2 linked regions of the Alligator mississippiensis genome follow. The protein of the gene in region 1 purifies or fractionates together with the protein of each later gene. This does not show direct contact. Links are inferred from orthologs where the notes say so. Each region holds a gene or a part of one and is shown in the gene's direction. Other genes may lie near its edges.

Region 1 (7,380 bases):
GGAATTTCCATCCTTGGAGGTTTTTAAGGCCCGGCTTGACAAAGTCCTGGCTGGAAAGTCCTAGTTGGGGATGGTCCTGCTTTGAGTAGGGGGTTGCTCTAGATAACCTCTTGAGGTCCCTTCCATTCCTAATTTTCTGTGATTCTATGTTAAAATTCCTTTAAAATTTAAGACTGTCCTGCTTGTTCTGATAAATCTGCCAACGTGTAACCCGTACTTAAAAGTTTTTTTTTCAAGAGGAAGAGGACATGGATACAGAATTTATGTTGCAGAGTATGCAGCATTCATGGGGAAAACCACTGACTGATCTTAAAGTATTTCAAAATCAAGTTCTGGACCTTTAAGTACTTGGACTTTTGGCCAAGGAGCTCTTATTACAGTTTAGAATATGCCATACAGTTTTGCCAGAAACAATGTTTTTTTTCAAGAGCAAATTGTACAAAGGTCTTTTTCATGCACAGAGTGCTTTTTTTTTAAAGAATGAAACATTTTCCAATAAAATCATCACCTTATTCTCCACAAATGAACAGAGGAATCCATCCACCACACCCAGGAAATCCTAATGGGTGGAGATCATTTTGAGAGATGAATGAGAAAATGAGTCCAAGTGCTTTATTAGGTGAAAGAATGAAATTAGCAACATAGGGTAAAATAACAATTTTGACAATCATCTGAGTGCCCTAAAATAGTTATAGGGTATGGATTCCACTTTTTCTAAGAACATTACCAGAGACGAGGGTGAGACTATAGATCTTGGCCTCAGAAACAAAAACAGTCCTATATTACTGTGCAAGTGCTTATATTACAATATCCCCTCCAACAAATCCAGCAGAGCATATTCTGGGACACTGTCATTCCCATACAATTGTCTAAATGTGCAGGATGCCATTCTCCTCTTGCTTATCCTGCTCTAAATCTGGAGTGACTCCATTAACTTCAGTATGTGTTCTCCACATTCATTAGGCTGTGAGAATAAAATTTGGCTTATAAAGTTTTTGAATAATTCAAACACAGTTTGAATTAAAGGTGTTCTTCATCCCAACTCCAGCTTTCCTGGAATCTGTCTTTTATTTCTGGTTCCTTGATGATCTACTACTGAATTCCTGTGTTTACCAAGCCAGAAACCGAACAAAAGCAGTAGAATAAACCAGGAAGCATGAATAATGAGACTACCACCAAAGAAGGAAAGATCTTCCAGTTATTTCCATTAAGTTTATTTGCTCAAGTGGGTATATTACAAGGTTTACCAACTTGGAGAAAGGTAAAATAAAACCAATTTAACTCCCATTTTCAAGGAAGATGAGGAAAAAATCCTGAAATTTCAGGATGTATGACCTTTTTTTAAGTAAAAATTTTCGTGTTCCAAGCCAAATCAATTCCAAATCCGTAAGTCATTCAAGAACCATATGTGGCCCTGCAACTGGCAAACATCCTCCACCCCTACCTGGGGCTTCAGTGTTTCCAAATCATTTGGTGGACATCCTACGTGCAGGCCCAAGGCTTGGGGTTCAGATGCCCCTGAGTTTCACTTGCCCTCAGCCATACGGCTGCAGAAGCAAGCTAGGGAAAAGTCTGCCATTTCCATAAAGTGGACGTAAAGCCAAGATCTTCCCCGAGGGCAATGAACTTGGGAGGGTAACTATATGTTACCTCTGCAAATACTACCCCATGCCAGAAAAGTGTTTATCCCCTGTCCCTAGAAAAACCGCCCTAGTTGATCATGGTATTTCCCCTGCCAGGTAAGGATGTATGACTTATTGTGGAAAGGGACTCAAATATTGCAGAGTTGAGTCTTTAAATTACAAAAATATAGAAGAGGAAGGGGCTTCAGCAGGTCATTGAGTCTCTCCTGGTGACTTTCTCACAGATGTTAGTCTAATCTTTTCATAAACTTCCAATTACAGGGATGTCACAACCTCCCTAGATTTCCTCTACAACTTAACTATGCTTAGAGTTAAAAAAGGTTTTCCTAATATCCAACTTAATTCTGCTTTGTTGCAAATTAAGCTGATTACTTCTTGTCCTACTTATTAGATGAGATAAACAATAGATCAGCATCTTCCTTATAGCAACTTTTAAAATATTGGAAGACTGTTAGCAGCATATTCCTGCATCCCTAGTCTTCTTGTTTTTAGACTAAACAAATCAATTTCTTCCAGCCTTTTCTAATAGATGATATTTTCCAAATCTTTTACCTTTCTCTGATTGCTCTCCTCCAATTTTTCTGTATCAATCTTAAAATCTGATTCCCAAAAACTGGATGTAGTACTCCAACTGAGGCCTCACCAGGCAGAGCAGAGTAGAATAATTACTTCTTACGTTTTACATGTTTAACACTTCTGTTAATAGATTTCAGAATGAAATTTGCCTTTTTTCCAAATGCATGGTATTTCATAGACTTTCATAGACATTAGGGCTGGAAGGGACCTCGGAAGATCATCGAGTGCAGCCCCCTGTCCCAGAGGCAGGAAGTCAGCTGAGGTCATAGGATCCCAGCAAGATAAGCATCCAATTTTCTCTTGAGGGCGTTCAAAGTAGGCGCTTGAACCACCTCCAATGGCAGGCTATTCCAGACCTTGGGGGCTCGGACAGTAAAGAAATTCTTCCTTATGTCCAGCCTGAAATGGTCTTGTAGGAGTTTATAAACGTTCAACCTTGTTGTCCCTTGGGGCGCTCTGGTGAACAAACGTTCCCCCAGATCCTGGTGGACTCCCCTTGCAAACTTATAGGTGGCCATCAGATTGCCCCTGAGCCTGCGCTTTTCCAAATATGGCAGACTCGTATTTAGTTTGTGATTCACTATCATTCCCAGATCCTTTTCTGCCATACAGTTGCTTTGTCCATTATTTCCTAATTTGCACTGATCCATTTAATTTCTCTTTCCTATGAGCAGTACTTTTTTGCAATTATCTTCATTGAGTTTTATCTGATTGATTACTGACCATTTCTCCAATTTATCAATATAATTTTGAATGATAATCCTGCCCTCCAAACTGCTTACAAACCCTCCCTGCCTGCTCTCATCTGTAAATCTTACATATGAACTCATCTAAATGGTTAATAAAAATACTAAATACAGTAGAACCCAAGATGAACGCCCCCCCCCTTCTTAGTAGAATCTCATTTAAAATGTCTTCTCAGTTTGACAATGCAGTCTGATAAATGACTTGAAAACTGTAATCCAATAGTTAGTATGGCCATTATATGGTGAATCTATCTAGACCAATAGTTCATAAGCTTTTTAGACCGACAGACCGTTGTCAAGTTTCAAATTTTCTTGAGAAACATCAAATTCTAATTGAACTGCTCCAGTGCAATCCACAAACCTCAGTTGGAAACCCCTGAGTAGTTAGATATTTCCTCAGCCTGTGCAGGGAAACGTCATGCAAGACCCCCACTAGGCTCTGCATAAACTAATGGGACCACCAGGATGATGGCATGCCACAGATTTGTCGAAGCAGGTACCAGCTCTGTCTAACTCCTGCCTATTTCTTTTAAAAAGATGCTACTCTGTTCATGCAGTGGTGCTCAACCTCCAGCCTGCAGAGCTGTGACATTTGGCCTGCAGGACTTCCCGTGGGTTGGGAAATTTGGCAGTGGGAGAGCCATGGCAATTAATACAGCCACCTTCCCCTACTGCCAAAATCCCAATTTCCAAGGCCAGCATGGACGGTGGAAGACGGGCCATGTCCTCTTCCCTCCGCATAGCCAGGTTGGGGCAAGACTGGAGCTGGGCCCCCGAGCTGGACAGGGGCCAGGCCTATGCCCCCTCCCACCGCTGCAGGGCTAGGCCAAGCGCCCTTTCCCCACACAGCAGCGTCCCTTCCCCTTGCCCCCCTCCATGTGACTGTTTGCCTTCCTCCACGTGAGCCGGGGCCGGATCCGGCCCACAGCTGGCCTGAGCGCTGTCCCTCCAACTCCCTGGGCGGAAAGGGCGAGCACCACCGGGGCAGTGTTAGGTTCGGTTGCGTGGGCCGGGGCGGGCCTGTCTCCACCAAGGGCAGGGGCAGGGGCAGGGGCAGGCGCAGGCTCTGTGCACCGCACAGCACATGGGACAGGGAGCGGAGAGCAGAGCAGCAGCTGGGGGGGCGGGACAGGGAGCACAGGAAAACAAAGCAGCACATGGAGACGGAGCGGAAAGCAGAGGAGCATCTGAAGCAGGGGTCAGAAAATGAAGCAGCACACAAGTCAGGGAGCCACAGCCGGCGCAAGCGCAGTAGCAGAGCCCGCCTCGCCCGCCCGCGCCGCTATGCCCCGCCCGCTGCTTGAGAAGGGGAGCGCCCGGCCCAGGTGCACAAGACCCGCGCGCCCCGCTGCAACCGGCTCTGGCAGCAGTAGCAGCAGCAGGCGCCGCCTCGGCAGGTGAGCTGGACGTGGGGCTGAGGGTGGCGGCTGCCCCGCGTAGCAGCGCGGCGCATGATGCAACCGGGGCGGGCGGGCGGCGAGTGCCGGGCTGCCCCTTCCCCAGCGGCGCACACAATGCGGGCCCACGTGCGGCTCGTCGCCGCGCTGCTGGGCGCCGAGGCGGGTTGAGCAGGTTCCCGCCTCAGCCCGCGCCTCGCCGGCCCCCTTCTTCCTTCCCTCAGACGGCCCGCGCGGGGCACTCAGGTTTCACCCCCCCCCCATCATTGCATAGGAAGTTTTGGGTAGGCCTCCGCCATGCCCCCTCCTTGTTGGCATTCAGATGATGCCCGACCGGCTGTCCGGTGTTTTCACCCGTGGGCGGAAACCCCCGAGATGCCTGCGAGGGCCGGGCCTGGCTTCTCGCCGGGGGGCTGCCTGTAGGCGGTTGCACACGGGTTGGGTAGTTTCCTCCTGGCTTGTTTTTGTTTGAGGCGGAAGAAAGGGAGAGCTGAGGAGACTGGCGCACATGTGTGGGGCCCGATGCGTGGGGTATTGTTCCCGTCGTTGCCAGGTGCCCGGCGCTGTAGAAACGTGCGGCATAAAGACAAGGGTCCAGCCCCAGACCTATGGCTACTTGCTTGCCTTGCAAGGTAATGGGCAATGTCACGGTGTAACGCACACGTGCAAGCGTGACTTGCGAGTTTAGCCGACTTCCTTTCACTGTTCCCTTTTTCAAGTGTGTGTGTGTGTGTGCGTGTTTCTTTCTTTCTTTCTTGCCGCCTTGTCTGCCTAACCCCACCCTTGCTGCAGGAAAAATCTCTCAGGCAGCATCCCAAGGGCAGAAAGCACCTCTGCCTGCACAGCCTTCCTTGCTTAGGCCACACGTACAGCTGGTGATGGAAGGGAAGCGAGAGGGGTACATCCTGCTTGTGATAGAATAAAAGACTTGGCACCATCCCTAGTAAAAATTATTTTCAATTTGGTTGCTAGCTCTTGCATCATACACATGTGTATGGCATCAGCCATTTTAGAACAGCTTCTAAATGTGTTAGTTTATTCATTGCCGTGGCCTTAGGCGGGACTGATGGCTCAAATTTAATAGGGCCTTGTGGTGAAGAGAGGAACTTATGAGACTTCCTGTTCATTTAAGCGGGAGACCTTATTTGCAGAGTTAAGTCTAAGAACATCTCTGATAGCTTACTCCTTTTTCATTGTGTGAGCGAGTTAAGTTTATTATGTGAATCGTCTAACCTCTGGTTGCTGATACCCTCACATGCAAAGTATGATACTTTTCGATTGGAGACTCGAGTACCTTATTTGCATCCCTCCGTCCATCTATATTTGTAGTGGTCTGTGCATTTTATAGGTTATTTGAGGAAATACAAGTATTCTGGCAACTCTGCCATGACCATGCACAAAGAGCAGCTGGAGCTGCTTTACTGAAACAGAACAGCCTTAAGCCTGACTTCTCTACATCAGTGAACATTTCTCTGCTTTGGGAAATCATTGGGTGACCTACAGTTACTAAGAAGGCAGCTGGCATGTCTGCTGGGATAATATCTGAGAAAAAGATCATGACTGGGTTTCCCTAACATTGGTGGTCCCACATGCTGGAATGGTTGCTTGGGATCTGGGGACTAGCCATCTTTGACCTCTCCTTTCCTCCCCAGTTCTGCACTGACCCGAACCATCCATGCTGGGTTATCTTCCCTTTCCTTTAAAAGGAAAGCATACCATAAGATCATTTGAAATCCATAAATGACTGTATTTTTTTTTTTCCCCCCCCTGAAGTGTGAGACCGATAGGTTCTCCAACAACACAGTGTAGGAGACATAGGTATGGATACAATCAGATTTTAATAAAGCAAAATACTTAGTGATTAGCTAGAAGTTCTCTCAAACCATTTAAAATAAAATTCCATTTTTATCCTGGAAGGTAACTAGACATTAAATATATTATTACATTATGCAGATTATGCTCTTGGGTCAAAGAAGAATGGCACAAGAGAGCCATCTTAATTAGGCAGTAGGAGTGTACTTCAGATAAGTTAGGCAGACTCTTTTCTAGCAAGTGAATGACATTGGGAGATGCAGTCACTATCACCATCATTTATGGCTCTGTTTTTAGTGAGATTTCCTCAGGCTGTCAGGAATATCGCTTCCTGAGACTCAGGTTGCACACTGGAATTTTGCACTTCCAGCCCCTTCCTTTACCCCAGCTTTCAGACAGAAAAGACTTATGTAAAACCCTCCTTTCTCAGCAAACAGATAGGACCCTGAGGCTAAAAATAAAAGTAGTTCTCATTGCATTATCAGCTCTGTTGGGATATGTCCAAGCACAGTTGTTCTGATTGATTAGAAAAAACTGATGTCACTTGTCCCACAGGTTGAGCTCCTAGGAGTGGCAGGGGCCTGAATCCTGTGGCAGTTTGAGAATGTATCCCAGGAGTACAGGCAGCCCTGGACTTCCCACGCTCACTAGCCATAAACTAACGGGGGGGGCGCGGAGGAGAGCACAAAACTATTTCAGTGAATTGTCACAACCACAAATTTGGTCATTTTGTGGCATGACAAAGGACGTAGACATCTGTTAGCTCAGGTTTTATGGTGCCATAAAAAAATGTATGGTGGCACAAAGGCAATTTCTGCAACTTAAAAATGTGTAGGGTAAGTTTAAGTGTTGCATATAAATGTTAAAGATTCTAAAAGTATCTGATGAAACACTTAAAAATCACCACATCAAAGTATGCTTGACACTTTAGGGTGCCTATACATGAGCAGCAAGGCTGCTCCCATGCACTGTAATTACAGCACATCGGAGCAGACTCTATCATGGTAATTACCACGCTCCAGCAGCCTCCAGCATCTTGTGCATCAGCGTTCCTGTGCTTAAAAATGGCGGTGGGGGCACTTTTATGTAAAGCTTGTTGAATGAGCTTCAGATAAAGCGCCCCTGCCACCACATTTTAAGCACGGGGATGCTGATACATGAGACTCCCTGGAAGTTTTAGTCTGATTAATAAGAGCTTCAATAGGA
Region 2 (8,526 bases), on another chromosome or scaffold:
GACATATTATTTAGATGTAAACCTTTTGTATGAGATGTTAAATTAGTGTTTGTAAACCTAGTGACATCCTTAAAACTGTGCTACCCATAAGAATAATGTCTCCTATTTTCAAGAAGATAAAAGTCAGGAAGCCACTAAAGATATACACATAATAAGAACCCTATCCTCTCTGAAGTCTATTTTTGCATACACTCCTAATCAGCTTTCCCTCTAAGATGTGCAGGTGCACAGGTGCCTGGCAGCATGGTATGAGTGCGCCTGTGTGGCCACACACACCACACTGCTTAGAGGTTAATTTCAATTTCCTAGGAACACAAATAGCATAGCAGCTGGGCTTGGAAAAGTATGTGGTGACTAGCCAATTGCTGGGCCGCTGTGGCGGAGGTGCAAGGGGGAGCACTGGGCCCAGGTCAACCCGGCAGTGCGGGGGGACGGGAGCAGCGGGCTCAGGGCTGACATGGGGGAGCAGGGGTGAGGGAACAGTGGGCCTGGGCTCAACTGGGGGAGGTGGCCTGCTCCTCCCCTCTCCCTGCAGCTGCCATGTTGGGCTGGGCTGGGCTGGGCCAGGCCCACTGTCTCCCTCTCCCATGCCCCTCCCCACCCCTCACTGCTGCAGCAAGCCGGCTTATCTCCCAGCTCAGGCTTGCTCCCCTACCCGCGTTGGGCCTGAGTCCAGTCCTCCCCTGGCCTCACCATCACCACTGATGCCACAGTGCGCCACATCAGGCCCACTCAGGGACAGGAAGAATGGGTTTGGGGCTGATGCAGGGGACAAGGGGTGGGGGAGGAGGCTCACTCCTTCCCTCCCCCAGCCACTGCTGTGTTGGGCTGGACCCACTGTTCCCGCCCCCCACCACCATGGTGAGCTGGCTTTTCCCCCCACTCGGGCCCGGGCCCACTCCCCCCCATGTTACCTGCAGGGAGCAGGGCTGTCTGTCAGCCAATCAGAGCGTGAATAAAGCATACGGACAAACAGATTTAGGCTTTTATAATATTAGAATGGTGTGGGCTCTAACTGAGTGATAATAAATTAAGGTAGAACATATCCAAGCAAAGTTTCAAGTTTGTATTAAGGTTATAGGAGAAAGGTAATTATATGTCTATGGGGGGGATGTATGTAGAAAACAAATTACAATTCTAATATAATGGTAATCAACAAGGATCCTGGTTTGCTGTCTAAAAATGCCAAATTCTCTGATAAAATTCCCAAATTTGCTAATTAAAAAACCCAAAATCTGCATTTCTCTGTGAATTAAATTATATATACCTATGTATTCTAGCCTTTGATACTTTTTAATCAAAAAAATCAGAGCTGTCCCTACCCTCTTCACTCACCAGGACATGGGTCCAGTTGCATCTGTCCCCCCTGCTGCTTTGTTGTGCTGAGCAGTCCTGATATGTTGGTGTCCTGCTCCTGCCCATTACATTGCTCCTCACTCCCAAGCCACAGCCTGCCCCCCACCTCTCCTCTAGCCCCACTGATGCCCTTCACTCCCCAACCCATAACCCTCCTAGCCCTGCTGATGCCCCTCACTCAGGAACCACAGTTCCCTGACCTTGCCAGTGCCCCTCAGTCACAGCCCACAGCCCCTTGGCTCTGTTGGTGCCCCTCACTCCTGACCCACAGCTCCCTAGCCCTGCTGGTGCCCTTCAGTTCTGTCCCACAGCCCCTTGGTCCTGCTTGGGCCCCTCGCTCCTGAATTACAGTCCCCCGCTCCCAACCCGCCAGTGTGTGGGGAAGGGGAGGGTGTAAGCACAAGAGACATGTGAGGGGAGTGGGGGCACATCCCCGCCCCTGAAATTTCTGTGCCCACAATGGGGTGCCAGCTACAGCTGAGCCAGATGAGCTCCAGCTCCAGACAGGAGTCACCTCCATGGCCCAGTGGGCAGGACCTGGCACAGGAAGGAGTGCCACTATGGCCACCAAGGTGAGGCACCCCCTGCGCACCTGGCACCAGCAGGGACACAACTCCGTGCTGCTGCCAACACTGCACCTCACCTTGGTGGCCCTCACTCCCCTCAACCCCAAGCATCTCCTTACAGGCTTGAACTCCCGTGTTTTTCTCCTTTAGAGGAGAAATCTGTGTTTTTCTCATTTAAATAAGAAAAATCTACATTTTTCTCTGTTAAAGGAGAAAATCCTCACTTTCCTGCAGCCAACATAAAACCTGGATCCCTGGTAATCAATTATGATGATCACTTTAGTTTAAGAATCTCTACACACAGTATTAATTCTGGTTAATGCTCAATAGTCAAGAAACTCATCTATTTTCCTCACACTTAAATGATATAATTTGCCTTTTCTTTTCACTTCACCCAAACCAACTACTTGTGATCCTCCTACTTTGCCTTGCCTATTCCCCCTCCAGCTTTAATTAGGCCAGTAGAACTGGGAGAAGAATGTCATGAGAAAGCCAGGCTCTCAGGTTATTTGTCACTCCTGCTTAATAGCCATTGTCAAAAAAAAGCTACAAGTAAGTCTCTGCTCCATTATGGAACACATTTGCTGGGTGACAACTGAACTGAGTCTGTGCCAGGTCTCTCTTCAGACTACAACAGAAGATCTGAGACCACCCCCGCCTTGCCCCAGAGCACATTTGGCTCTCTTCTACTCTCCACATTTCAGCATTAACACTTGCAGCATGCTGGAGCCAGGTAGGGTGCCCAGCCATTTCTCATACTCAAATATCCAGAGCTGAGGTGCTTACTGGGTTTCAGCACCAATCCTGGCTAGATTCCAGCTGGCAAAGGTAAGAACATGCAAATGGGACATGGACACAATGGTTTTACTAGAAATAGACTGAGCACCAATCCATAAAGTACCTAACTACATCTAGGTGTCCAATGACACCTAAAAGCTCTCAAAAAGTAAGAAGTATTCATATTTTTTGTTAATTTCACTGTGTGGGTTCAAATTCTACATACAATATATGGTGGAGAGGGACATTAAATAAGGTTCTGTTCAAGGGCTCAACTCATTACAGCAGCCACAACTCAGAATTAGTACCCAAATGTAAATCAGATACTAGTGAGAGCCAATGTTTTATCAGCTGGGGCCACCAAAGGCTGGTCTATGTTTGAACAGACTATTAATTTCAGCACAGGTCTACATGTGAAAAAGCTTCACTTCAGGGTAAAAAGAGTGGCTAAGGAGATTTAACATTTTATTGACTCCTTTTCTACTCTTTATTTTTTTCAGTACAGGGATGTGTAAGGATCCTACAGTTCCTGTGCAGTCCTACAATTTCTGTGCTCAGATGCTTGGGAACGTCCGAGTTTTCTTCCCCCGCTGCTTTGGAGTTATGAGTTAAGTTTTAGAGAACAGGGTCTCAGCTCTTAGCTGGGACAATGACAGGACAAGGGCCCAGCATGTTTCTTTTTGTAGCACTACAAAAATGGAAAATGAAGTGCTATCAGCAGCTTCATGTTCAAAACTCCTGCGAGTCTCGTACAACTTTTTTTGTACGAAGTTACAAAACGGCACTTTCTCTGGCTCCTTGGTTCACTCCTTCAAAGGACTCACAGGTGGGCTTCCCCCAACAGTTGCTGCCATCCTGGTGGCAACATGTGGGCAGCAAGAATCCTGAGCCAGTCACTTTCCCTCTTGGAGGAGGGCAGGGGACTGAGGGGTTGCAGGGCAGGCTGCCATCCATGACCCACCAACACTGCCCTGGCTACTGCTCTGTTTGGAAGTTTAAAAAGCACAGGCAGGGGCAGCCCAGGAGCTTTTTAATGTTCCCACTTTCAGGCAGCTTGTGAGCTCTTGAAGTTTGCAGCTGCCCACCCCTTGGGATGCTTAAAGGGTGCCTCTGGTGTCCCATGCTGCCCGCATGTATCTCAGCCCCTGGCTGCTGGACCTTTGTAAGGTCCCAGCTGGCAAAACTAGGCCTCCAATATCGGATAGAGCCCCCCCACCCCAGTTATTTTAAACAGCAACAATTTTGTCCCGGACCTGCCAATTCTGGGGCACATAAGGCACTCTTAGCAGGGAAGAAAAGCCTGAAAGCCCTTCATCTGGCTAAGGCGGCGGTTAGCGGGCTACAGGGAGCTTCTGCAGGGACTTCACGGTGCCCGCCTGACGCGGCCGAGGCGACCTCGGGTTGCAAGAGGTAGCATCCGCGGGCGCTGCTCCGGCTCCAGCCACCCGCAGCACAACAAGGGCCCCGGCGCTCCTCGCCGCCCGGCTGGCCTCGAGCGGGCAGGCCTGGGGCGGCTCCTCCGCCTCTCCGAGCGGCCACGTCTCACCCGCCCGCCCGCCCGCCCGCGCCCTGCCCCGTGCACGGGCTGCAGCCTCCCCCGGCCCGAGCGGCGCCCCGCCCGGCAGCTCAGGGACGAGGAGACTGGAACCGGCCCTCACCGCCTGCAGCGCCGCCAGGAGACAAAGCCAGAGGCGCCCCGGGCCCGTCGCTCCGGCAACCGCCGCCATCTTAGTGCAGAACCGCCACTGCCGGCAAGGCCGCGTCAGGACCTCGCCCGCTCAGGGTGCCCTCCCGCCGCCTGCTGCGGGAGAACCAAAGTGTGCCCCTGAGCCCTTCGCGTCGTTGAGGAAAACCGTTGTCCCAGGGTTGCCTTTGGGAAACGCCTGACTACAACCAAGAAACTCCACTCAGGGTAGAAGCTTGTTATGCAGGTGGCGGATCCCGATCTCCATTGGGCATCACAACAGACAGTCCTTGGAAGGTCCTTCTCGTTCTTCCACTCATAACGGACTAACGTCAACCCTCACACGACTGACGCACAGTTCGGCCAATAGCAACAAGACATGGCCGAATGCGGTTGTCTGCGCCCCTATGACTAGCTGAGCGATGAGGCGGGACCACGGCATAGCCCATCCAATCCAGAAGGAGCGCATGTAGGCGGGGCGTCGGGCCCTACGGACGTTCGTGGGGGAGTTTTTGTGGACGCGGTCACTGCGTGGGCCGCCCAATGGGGTCGGGCGAGGGCGGGGCGACGGTGAGGCTGCCCAATGGCGACGGGCGTGGGGGCGGGCTCTGCGCGTGGCTGGTCAATGGGAGGGCGCGGGGGCGTGCGCGCGGCTGGGCGTTCGGTTGCTGAGCAGCGCACGCAGGCGGGGGGAGGGGCGCGGGTGACCGAGCGTGCTCGGGGCCGGGCCGGGCCGCGCGGGGGGCGGGCGGTGCTCGGCGGGGATGTGAGAGCCGCGTCCCTCCGCGCGCGCCGGGGTCCCGCTCCCTGCTGGCCTCGCTCGCTCGCTGTGTCCCCGCGGCGGCTGCGGCTCTTCCCGGCCGGGCCCCGCGTTATGTCGTGATCCCGGGCGGGCGGCGCTGCTGCTGCTGCTGCTGCTGATGGGGCTGCTCAGGATTATGCTGCCGCCCAAGTTGCAGCTGCTGGCCGTGTTGGCCTTCGGCCTGGCCGTGCTCTTCATCGAGAACCAGATCCAGAAGCTGGATGAGTCCCGCGGCAAGCTCGGTGAGCTGCGCCGCGCCGCGCCGCGCCGGGCTGGGCCAGGCCGGGCCAGCGTGTGGGGGGCTGTGGGAATGGCGGGGGGAACAAAGGTGGAGCTGGCAGGGGAGGGAGGCGATGACAGTGCCAGGAGCTGGGAAGGGAAAGCCGCTCCCCACCCGCTTCCCAGTGCGGAGCTCGCTGGGACCGGCAGGACGGCGAGGTGGCTTCTCCTACATGGCCCTTGTGTTTACGTGTCTGCAAATCCTGTCTGACGGGCTTGCTACGACTCCGGGGGGACTGTGCGGAAGAGGCTGTAAGCAGGGGAGACAGCGGCCAGGGCCTCACGCTTCACTCCGACGGAAATTCTGCATAGGGAGAGCCAGCGCCGGGGGTTGGGGCTGGGACGAGATGTGTATTTCTAGGGAGTCTCAATGCACTTTTCCCAAAAGAGCAAAAAGGGAAGGGAAAAAAAAGCCAGAGACGGTTGTTGTTGGTGACTTGTCGGAGCTGCCGGCCTGTGTGTGTGTGTTGTGCAGCCCAGCTGGAGGTTGAGGCACAGCTGTGGTGCTGGAAGCAAGTCCAGCTCTGCTTTTCCCTGCTTCTGGACATATTTATCTGAAACGCCCTTATTTCCAGTTCAAACTTTTTAATAAGGCTTGGACCTAATCCAGACATGTGGAGGTGGAAGAGGAGTACTCAAAAATGTGCGGGTTAAACCAAATCAAGTGAAATCAGTGGGTTGTGTGTAACAGGCAAGAAGCATGATTTGTTTCACCCTCATTGAATGCAGGATTTATTTACCTCTGCTCAGTAAATGGAATTACTGCAGGACTCCTGTTCAGAGCTAAAGTTGTTAAACTGTGTAAATTTAACCCTTTCCCCTTATGTTTGTAATTTTTACTTTTAATTTCTAACAGTACTTTTCCAGGGGTATAGTAAATGTCAGACTTCAGAAGCACTAAAGGGCTGCATAATTTCAGCAGAATGAGGAGATGCTGTTTTTAACTCAGTTCATTTTATTGTAACCATGAATTGGGGTGCAGTAGGACTTCTAAAATACCAAAGAACAGAGGGTTAGGCTATACATGATTTTGTTACCTCGCGCTTTAGGTAGGTAACCTTATCCATATTAGTTCATTATAGTATATTTCTTAACAGATGAATATTTGTGGCTTGTACATATACAGAGGAAAGAAGGGACAGTTTCTAGGTTTTTTTGGTTAGAAATGGAGGTGGACTTTTAGTGAAATGACAAGTTTTACTGTAATGGTGTTGGAGTGGTGTTGTAGCCTGTCTAGGAAATATATAAGAAGCAAGGGGTTATTTTGACATCTCAAAAAACCCCTTGCTGCTTATATGTTTTATTGAACCCAACCATTGTTGGGAGATGTTAGGTAAGCTTCAGGTATAAAGTGAAGAAGGGCACTTTATGGCTGAAAATTTGTTTTATGTAGTTTCCAACTAAACAGTTGCTTCAGTAAGAGATCTCATTCATACCTATACACTCTGTTGCTTTTTGAAAGTTTAACTGTATCCAACTTCTGGAAGAGATGAACTCAAAATAAAGGTTAGTGGCATTCATAGACTAGGTCAGTGATTCTCAACCTTTGTAAACTCATGGTGCTTCTCTGTAGACTCAGCACCCATAAGAAAATGCTAGCTCCTTGTTTTCACCCTTTCTTTGACTACAGAAAAATAATGCAGCAGTTCTGTTGCAAAAACTCAAAAAGACCAGAGCAGGTCAGAATATTTTTAACACTATAGATTCCTGTATGAAAACTCTGGGTTTATCTTGTGAATCATGTTTGCATACCTCATAGTACAAACATTTTGTGGCATCCATAGCTCCACAGTTTGAAAAGGATGTCAAAGTACCCCATGGTGCCAGTGCACCTTGTTTAAGACCCACTGACCTAGCTATTGGAAATCAGAAGCCTTTAAAAAGTGTTTGACTGTATGAGTTATCTATGAGTTTTTTACCTCTCAGTTTAACAATATGTTACTAATATGTGAAAGTTAGAATAATTTGCTTTTGCTTGGTTGGTTTGTCTTTTTGCTGGATTATTTAAACAAGTGTTAAGAAAGAAAGAAGAACACACTGGGATAGTTTAAATAGACATTGTTGATAAAGCAGTCAAGGATTAATGAAATTCCATAAAAGTGTATTTTTAACTGCTTGGCACCACTAGCTGCCCTACATCCATTGCTGGCAATGGGTGTCACGCCAAGAAAATACAACTCCCAGCAGAAAAGGATTAACATAATGCATTGTGGGAATAAAGGGTTTTGCTGGTAAGACTTCCTTTTACTTCACCTTAATAGATATACATTGGACACGTTTAGGTTACATATTTAGAGGATTAAAATACGCACAACTCAGTGCACAACTTCAGGACAAGAATCCAATCACTTTGTTCTACTGATGGAGTTTTTATCTCTTGGAAAAGGGGGTAATCTCTATTTTGAACTTGATATTAAAATATAACGGAAAATGGTGCCTAGTAAGGGACATGTCAATGGTTCTTGAGCTGCATGGGAGGAGAAACTAGAGCTGTGTAACAACTTATTAGGCTGTTTATACTCTGGATTAGGAAGTACTTTTATATGAGAGGCCTGTTACTACAATGATGCATGCAGAAGTATGCCACCCCATGTGCATGTATGTAATCTAAATATTATAATAATAATAAAACCTGAGGGAACTCGTAAGTTTTTTTTTTTTTACTGTGAAAATAGTCTGGATGTTTTAGTGCCATTTTCACCTCACTGCAGTACAGAGTTCAGTTGCCCTATATTGAAATAATCAGTTTTGATCCAACACAATGGACCTTGAAGGGTAAAATAAACAAAAAACCTAAGAAAAAAAATAATGAAGATTAGTGAGCCCATGAACTGATGAGAATAATGACTGCATTTTGACTGAAAGGCCTATGAAAATATCAAGTTGGGTCTGGAGCTGGTAAATTAAATTGGGTGTTGTCTCTTTTGTTTTGTTTTTTTCAATTGATTTATCACATGAGAGAACATGCCATGATAAGTTGTAAGTTTTTAATAATTCTGTGATTTGGACAGTGACTCAGAAAACTCTGTAATGTGACCTCTAGCAGAAAATCATTCTTGAAG

Evidence for each region. Proteins that work in one complex are often made in the same cells at the same time.
Region 2: the proteins of SLC7A1 (region 1) and HS2ST1 purify together in Homo sapiens (co-immunoprecipitation; 3 studies listed by BioGRID and IntAct, counting the BioPlex papers as one, with this or other methods). This does not show direct contact. The link is inferred for Alligator mississippiensis from reciprocal best matches to the Homo sapiens genes SLC7A1 and HS2ST1.

The regions. Positions count from the first base shown.
Region 1 is NC_081824.1:426,704,261-426,711,640, forward strand, and holds the start of SLC7A1 (high affinity cationic amino acid transporter 1), read left to right. Parts: upstream 1-4,119; 5' UTR 4,120-4,362; intron 4,363-7,380. UniProt on the Homo sapiens protein: High-affinity, low capacity permease involved in the transport of the cationic amino acids (arginine, lysine and ornithine) in non-hepatic tissues.
Region 2 is NC_081828.1:29,692,348-29,700,873, forward strand, and holds the start of HS2ST1 (heparan sulfate 2-O-sulfotransferase 1), read left to right. Parts: upstream 1-5,084; 5' UTR 5,085-5,303; coding exon 5,304-5,427; intron 5,428-8,526. UniProt on the Homo sapiens protein: Catalyzes the transfer of a sulfo group from 3'-phospho-5'-adenylyl sulfate (PAPS) to the 2-OH position of iduronic acid (IdoA) or glucuronic acid (GlcA) within the heparan sulfate (HS) chain and participates in HS biosynthesis.